Macaca fascicularis: one gene and its partner. The protein of the gene in region 2 interacts with the protein of the main gene of each other region in a pairwise test. Links are inferred from orthologs where the notes say so. Each region holds a gene or a part of one and is shown on either strand. Other genes may lie near its edges.

What was found. The genes of interacting proteins can lie anywhere in the genome.
Region 1: the proteins of KLHL12 (region 2) and INMT interact in binary tests that used the Homo sapiens proteins (3 or more experiments, as listed by UniProt). The two-hybrid records come from large-scale screens. The link is inferred for Macaca fascicularis from reciprocal best matches to the Homo sapiens genes KLHL12 and INMT.

What each region holds. Positions count from the first base shown.
Region 1 is NC_088377.1:99,545,623-99,549,818, reverse strand, and holds the start of INMT (indolethylamine N-methyltransferase), read left to right. Parts: upstream 1-1,384; 5' UTR 1,385-1,400; coding exon 1,401-1,554; intron 1,555-3,017; coding exon 3,018-3,225; intron 3,226-4,196. UniProt on the Homo sapiens protein: Functions as a thioether S-methyltransferase and is active with a variety of thioethers and the corresponding selenium and tellurium compounds, including 3-methylthiopropionaldehyde, dimethyl selenide, dimethyl telluride, 2-methylthioethylamine, 2-methylthioethanol, methyl-n-propyl sulfide and diethyl sulfide.
Region 2 is NC_088375.1:60,664,790-60,668,436, forward strand, and holds part of KLHL12 (kelch-like protein 12), read right to left. Parts: intron 323-3,647; coding exon 173-322; intron 1-172. UniProt on the Homo sapiens protein: Substrate-specific adapter of a BCR (BTB-CUL3-RBX1) E3 ubiquitin ligase complex that acts as a negative regulator of Wnt signaling pathway and ER-Golgi transport.

The DNA of each region.
Region 1 (4,196 bases), on a different chromosome or scaffold from region 2:
CCGAGCAAGAGGGAATTCTGGCAGCAGCTGGTCTTTGGACTTGAACTGCAACATTGGCTTTTCCTGGTTCCACCCTTCAGAGTTTGGACTTACTGGCCTACACAATTACACGAGCCAATTCCTTACAATAGATCTGGTTCTCTCAGTGTACACATCCTGGGTTCTGTTTCTGTGGAGAACCCTGACTAATAGAGGTACCATATGTCTTCCTTCCACCCTGCCCACAACTTAGTACCGTGCCTTTATTGTACACTCCTCTAATTATGTAACGCGAGCCCTGCAGTTTCCCGCCAGCTCTGTATGCCTTCTGCAGGCCAGCACGACGGCTGCAAGCCTCCCTGGAGGCTGCCCAGGCACCCGCCTCTTGGAAGCTAGGCCCTGACGACTGCTGGGTGTTCCTGCCTCTGTGGCATCCCCCGTCTATTGGGCCCTGTGAATTCAGAATTGTTTGTTGACTTGAAGCCAGAACAAGGTATTCCTATCCTTCCCACTTTCAGGGTAAGAGGTGTGAACCTCCAGTGTAGCAGATTCATTTCTCTCTGGTTTGTGGCCAAGTCAGAGCCATTTCCTAATGCCAAAAACAGAGACTGGACTTTTCTCTGTCTGTGGGAGATTTTACAACCCAGTCCTATTTCAAAGAGAAGACTGAGGCCAGGAGTGTCTTACCCGGAGTTGCCTGGTGAGTCAGCAGCCAGGAAACCAGGACCCCTTTGACAGTTTATGCTTTATGACCAGGTGCCCTTGTTCTCATTCATGGAGATTGATGACAATTTCTGCTCTTCTCCCAGTGACCTGCACAGTGATGCCAAGTCAGCCATTCTGCTCTGCCTCCTGGGGTCTGAACTGTGTTCTCCAGCAGGGATGGGGGATGCATGAAGCTGCACCCACTGCTTGGCCTAGAGAGAGCTGCTGGACCCCACTGACCACCAGGGGACAAGATGGGGATCTCACTGTGCACTCAGGCCACAACACCTGTGACTTAGGGGAGGGATTTTGGTCCTCACAGTCAGTGAAGTGGGCACACAGGTGGGGAAACATGGGTCTGACACCTGCTGGAGGCCACACAGCAGCATGTGGTTGGCAGGGCTGAGAGTTGCACCCAGGGCTGGGCACTATCAATTGCCTTTGACGGACATGGATTGGTCCCTAGAGGAAGCAGAGCCAGGGCAGCTGCAGCCCCAGCGGTCATAGCGCTGGGGTTGGGGAAACCTCGTGTGTGTCAGTGTGACTAGGAGGCGGTGAAGAATGCACTCCCTTCTGCATGCCCATAGGAGAAGCTCAAGGAGAGGCATACTTGGGAGGAGCCATGGGATGAAGCTGGAATGCTGGGGGTGGAGCCTGGAGAGCTTGGAGCCCTCATAAGACCTGACAGCCAGGAGAGGGCACATTTCAGGGACACCATGGAGGGTGGCTTCACTGGGGGTGATGAGTACCAGAAGCACTTCCTGCCCAGGGACTACTTGGCCACTTACTACAGCTTCGATGGCAGCCCCTCACCCGAGGCTGAGATACTGAAGTTTAACTTGGAATGTCTCCACAAGACCTTCGGCCCTGGTGAGCAGAGGGTGACCCTTCCCCTTGAGCCTCTCTCCAAGGAATCTGGATAGGGATGGGGATAAGGTGTCCTGGGGGCAGTCTGGTCTCCTCTAGGGGTTTTTGGGGGCGGGCTGAGGGAGCTGCTGGGGCCCTGCCCCTCTCTTTGGGCAGCTATTATACTGGAAGTTGGGTCTGTCTCCCCACGGCTCAGGAGCTGTGTGCCAGCTGAGGGATCAGGACCTATGGGAAGAGCACAGCCCCGTGCAGTTCCCACACTGCTCTCCATTAGCCCCTAGGTCTTTGGGGTGGAGCAGAAAAGGCTCTCCAGGTCATCATCAAGTTCAGTCCTAACCTTGCACAGCCAGGCCTCTGGGGCCCCCAGAAGGCCAAGGGCAAACAGCAGAGTTGTAGTGGGTCGGGATCGCCTATGCCCAGAGTGTGCAGCCCAGATGTGTCTGTGATGAGGACCTGGAAAAGCCCTGCCCTGGGACAAGGATTGCTAGGTGGGGTCTCAACCCTGTTGCAAACCTGACAGCAAGGCGCTCAGGCCCCAAGGACCTCAACTGAGCCATCTGTGCAATTGATGGCGACTTCTGCCTGTCTCCCAATGATCATTGCCCTCCCCACGGTGACCCCATGATTTGGTCACGTCTTCTAAACTCAAGCAGCCATGTCCTCACTTTGGGCACTTGACTGCGGAACAATAAGGGTGAGTCTCCTGGTGGTCTGGGGGTTAAGAGGGGGTTAAAAGACTGCTGAGCCTGGAGGAGCAGGCTGGTGCGGGAGGCAGAAATCAGAGAATAGCTGGACTGGGTGTGACCAAGCTTGGAAGGCCAAGTGATGGCCCCACGCCAGGGCTCCAGACAGAATGTTGGAAGTCATGCTTCATTCCAGCTTCCAGGTGACCCTGGATTCACTCCTGGGGCCATCTTCCCAGATCATCTCCTCAGCCCCGGCTTCCTATTCCTGCATGCTTACACCCCTCCCCACTCCAAGGAACAAGGAACCCATCCAGGAAGGGCCGGACTTCCAGGGGAGGCTCCCAGCTTCCAGTCAGCCTGAAACTTAAAGAGCCACTGCCCCCAGCATGTCCCCTCTGAACCCTCCAGCCCGAATCTTCCCCAGAGCAGGGCTTGGGCCTCTGTTCTCTGTCCCAGAAATATTATACTCTTGGCTTATGTTCTTGATGGAAAGATATTGGGCTAATTGTTTAACCTTTTTCAGACTCAGTTTTCTAATCTGTAAAATGAAAATAGTGATAGTAGTCAGTACACAGGGTAGTTCTGAGGTGTAAGTGGAAATTAATGCATATAAAATATTTGGTATGAGGCTTGGCTTACAGGGAACCGCCAATCCGTGATAACCACCATGCTTGGTGCTGTTTGCCCCTTGGGTAAGACCAGGATGTGTGTCCTCATCCCTGTGTCTGCCTTGGGTCTCGTTTCTCTTACCCGTCCATTACCAGTCTTTCCCTCCCACAGGAGGCCTTCAAGGGGACACACTGATCGACATTGGCTCAGGCCCTACCATCTACCAAGTTCTCGCTGCCTGTGAGTCCTTCCGAGACATCACTCTCTCCGACTTTACTGACCGCAACCGGGAGGAGCTGGAAAAGTGGCTGAAGAAGGAGCCGGGGGCCTATGACTGGACCCCGGTGGTGAAATTCGCCTGTGAGCTGGAAGGAAACAGGTAGCGGTGCAGAGGTTGTGGAGGGGGTTCCCAGTCAACCTTCTTTCTCAGAAGTCTCCCTGGCCTCTTGTTTGTCTCTGGCATTTTCAGGACAGTAGGACCTATAGGTACAGGACCAGATGTCCTATGGTGGGGACAGAGTAGATGGGGCCCCAAGTTTCAGGATTACAGCAGTTTTAGGTGCAAGTATCTGATCACAGGACTATGTTGAGGTGTGATATAATCAAGTATGAACACTGAAAACCAGATGATAGAACCTTTCCTTCCTTCTTCTCTTCCTTCCTTACCCTCATCTATATATCTACCTATCTATCTTCTATGTATCTAACTATCCATCCATCCATCCACCCACCGGTCCATCCATCCATCCATCCATCCATCCATCCATCCATCCATCCATCCATATTCATGCATCCACCCACCCATCCATATCCATCCATCCATCCGCCCATCCATATTCATACATCCACCCACCCATCCATATCCATCCATCCATCCACCCATCCATCCATTCACCCATCCATTCATCCATCCAGCCAGCCATTCACCCATCCATTCATCCAGCCAGCCAGCCATTCACCCATCCATCCATCTATCCATCTGTCCATTCATCCATCCATCAATATTCATCCATCCACCCACCCATCCATTCATCCATCCATAGCCATCAATCCATCCATCTATCCATCCATCCATTCATATCCATCCATCCATCCATCCATCCGTCCATCCATCCACCCATCCATCCATCTATCCATGTCCCTCCATGTTCATCCAGCTACCCACCCATCCATCCATCTTTCCTTCTTCCCTCTATTGTCTGTACCTGTGTGACTATATAATGCAGTGACATGAACCCACCACCCAACCTGAGTACTCGGATATAATAAAGACTTCTGTGCTTCTCTGTGACTCCTTGCCCCTGCCTTTCCTAACCCGAGGTAGTAACTAATATGAATTTTATGCTTATC
Region 2 (3,647 bases):
TCACTTTTCTTAGAAATATGCTTGGGAACTACCCAGCACCACTCTCACTGGCATTCCTAGACAGGCAAACCAGGAGACTCTGTGCCTACGTTAAAATAATCAGTTTTGAATACAGAACACTAAGGTAAGAGTTTGTCAAGGTTTTGGATCCTGAGAGTGTTGCACCACTTACCTCAGCATCTATTACATCCGTGATATACCTGGGGGTCAGCAGGGGCATACGCACATACTGTAGCAGGTTAGGCAAGGATTCTTCCCGCTCTTTCTTGGCATGCTTCACCCAGTTGATGACAGCCTCAAAGACTGGCTCTTCAGAATCCACCTGTAAATGTGTAATTACACACCGTGGATCCTAGTTTTCCAATTAGCTCACCATCTCAAAAAGTAACCACGTTCACTTTCTCCTTCCTGCTTTCCCATTGCCCATCACCATTATTTCCCATCTTCCAGAAACAGCTAGGCTCTTGGGAAAACATTTTTTTCAGACACAGCTAACAGACCAGGAAAAGAATTATAGTCAATTTGGGTTATACACACACACACACACACACACACACACACACACACACATATGAATGATAAACAGTACGTAATAAATCACTAGTCACATATTGGCCTTCGTTTCAGAATTTTCCCCATTCCTGAATTGCCTCTGGTCATCTCTCTAACTTTAGGGAAGGTAGGTGGGGGAATCTGTTGCCTTATTGACAATCAGCTCTTGAAATAATTTTTAGTCATAATTGTTATCTAATGATCTCCAGGCTCACCCCTCAAATTGTTCATCCAAGCCTCTGAAGCAGGAGCTTTTCTAACATCATTAGTTGCTGTTTTCAAAAGCATTATCGCCTTTCTGCCCGTGGATGCTGCCAAAGTAGTATCTTTAAAGTCTGTCTTCTCCCTGCCCTCAGGTCTAAGTCAGAGTCTCCAAAAGAGCCCGAACAGCGGAGGAAGCTCTTCATTGGAGGGTTGAGCTTTGAAATAACCAATGAGAGCCTAAGGAGTCATTCTGAGCAATGGGGAATGCTCATGGACTGTGTGGTAATGAGAGATCCAAACACCAAGCGCTCAGGGGCTTTGGGTTTGTCACATTGGCCACTGTGGAGAAGGTGGATGCAGCCATGAATGCAAGGCCTCACAAGGTGGATGGAAGAGTCATGGAACCAAAGAGAGCTGTCTCAAAAGAAGATTCTCAAAAGACCAGGTGCCCACTTAACTGTGAAAAAGGTATTTGTTGGCAGCATTAAAGAAGACACTGAAGAACATCACCTAAGAGATTTTTTAACAGTTTGGAAAAATTGAAGTGATTGAAATCATGACTGACTGAGCCAGTGGCAAGAAAAGGGGCTTTGCCTTTGTAACCTTTGATGACCATGACTCTGTGAATAAGACTGTCATTCAGAAATAACACCCTATGAATGGCCACAACTGTGAAGTTAGGAGAGCCCTGTCAAAGTAAGAGATGGCTAGTGCTTCATCCAGCCAAAGAAGTCGAAGTGGTTCTGGAAACTTTGCTGGTGGTCGTGGAGGTGGTTTCAGTTGAGATGACAGCTGTGGTGGTGGTGGATAAGCGGCAGTGGGGATGGCTATAATGGATTTGGTAATGATGGAAGCAATTCTGGAGGTGGTGGAAGCTACAGTGATTTTGGCAATTACAAGACCCATGAAGGGAGGAAACTTTGGAGGCCGAAGCTCTGGGCCCCTATGGTGGTAGAGACTAATACTTTGCCAAACCACGAAACCAAGGTGGCTATGGTGGTTCCAGTAGCAGCAGTAGCTATGGCAATGGCAGAAGATTTTAATTAGGAAATAAAGCTTAGCTGGAGGGGGAGCCAGAGAAGTGACAGGGAGGCTACAGGTTACAACAGATTTGTGAATTTAGCCAAGCACAGTGGTGGCAGGGCCTAACTGCTACAAAGCAGACATATTTTACACAAATACTCATGTGTATGGGCAAAAAACTCGAGGACTGTATTTGTGATTAATTGTATAATAGGTTATTTTAGTTTCTGTTCTGTGGAAAGTGTAAAGCATTCCAACAAAGGGTTTTAATGCAGATTTTTTTTTTTGCAGCCATGCTGTTGATTGCCAAATGTAATAGTCTGATCGTGATGCTGAATAAATGTCTTAAAAAAAATAAAAAGGAAAAGCATTATCAATTAGCCTTCAAGGAACTACTGTGTATTAGGCACTATGCTATTTGAGAAGATATAATTAATTAATCATCTGGAGAACTTAGGTCTAAGATTACATATGACCAATTAGATAATGGGAGATACACTCTAAAAAAAAACCTATTCTACAATACTGGAAGGTCCTAGGTATATAATAACACCTAGAACTTCCCAAAGACAGACACCTGAATACAGGTCCTGTGTCCCTTCTACAAGCCCCTAGAGAGTACATATTCTGGGAGATACCTTTCAGAGTGTCACTGTGACTAGATAAAAAAATCACTCTGTAAACTTTTTCCAAGAACTGTGATACTCTAAAAATGCAGACAGTGTTTCAAAAAGTGCATTCATTTGAGGGAGTTACTGAACTCCTCTCCTAAGTGCCAGGCACTGCCCTGGAAACTGATTACACAATGGTGAACAAATCAGATATGGTGAACAAATCAGATATGATCCATGCTCTTAAGTGGGGAGTCAAACTGCTAAATCAGAAAAATGAAAAAACTCACTATTATTACATACTATATAGGAAAGGTACTGGGGCTATGAGACAGAACAACATGAGATTTTCTGGTTTAGATTGGTGAGGCAGGGAAGGCCTCCTTGAAGAAGCAACAAATTGAAATCTGATGGATGAGTAGCAGTTAGCCAGGGGGAGTAAGACAGTACTCCCAGGCAGGACCCGGCACGGTAGCTCATGCCTGTAATCCTAGCACTTTGGGAGGCCGAGGCAGGCAGATCACGACGTCAGGAGATCGAGACCATTCTGGCTAACACAGTGAAATCCCATCTCTACTAAAAATACAAAAAATTAACCAGGGCGTGGTGGCGGGCGCCTGTAGTCCCAGCTACTCAAGAGGCTGAGGCAGGAGAATGGCGTGAACCTGGAAGGCGGAGCTTGCAGTAAGCCAAGGTCGCGCCACTGCACTTCAGCCTGGGCGACAGAGCAAGACTCTATCTCAAAAAAAAAAAAAAAGAAAAAAAAGAGAGAGAGAGAGAGTACTCCCAGGCAGAGAGAAGAGCACACTCAAAAGCACCAGAAGTGCATTGTCCAATACACTACCCATGTGTGGCTATTTACATTCACCATAATTAAAATTAAAAATCAGCTTCTCAGTTGCATTAGCTACATTTCAAGTGCCCGATAGCAACATGGGGCTAGCAGGAGCAAACTAAACAGTATAGATATAGAGTACTTCCATCTTCGTAGAATGTTCCATTGAACAGCTCTGTCCTACAGCAAAAAAGAACTGGCAGCTTGAGGAAATGACTAGAAGGCTAGTGTAGCAGAGTGAATGAGGGTGATAGAGGAGTAAAATATGAAGCTGGAGAGTCAAGCAAGGGCCAGATACAGAGAGCATTAGAATACTGGATTTCACTCTAAGTGCAACTTGAAATCATCCGCAGGTTTCAAGCAGGCTACTGATATGATCATATTGATGTTTTGTAAACATTATCCTGGCTACTGTGGGTAGA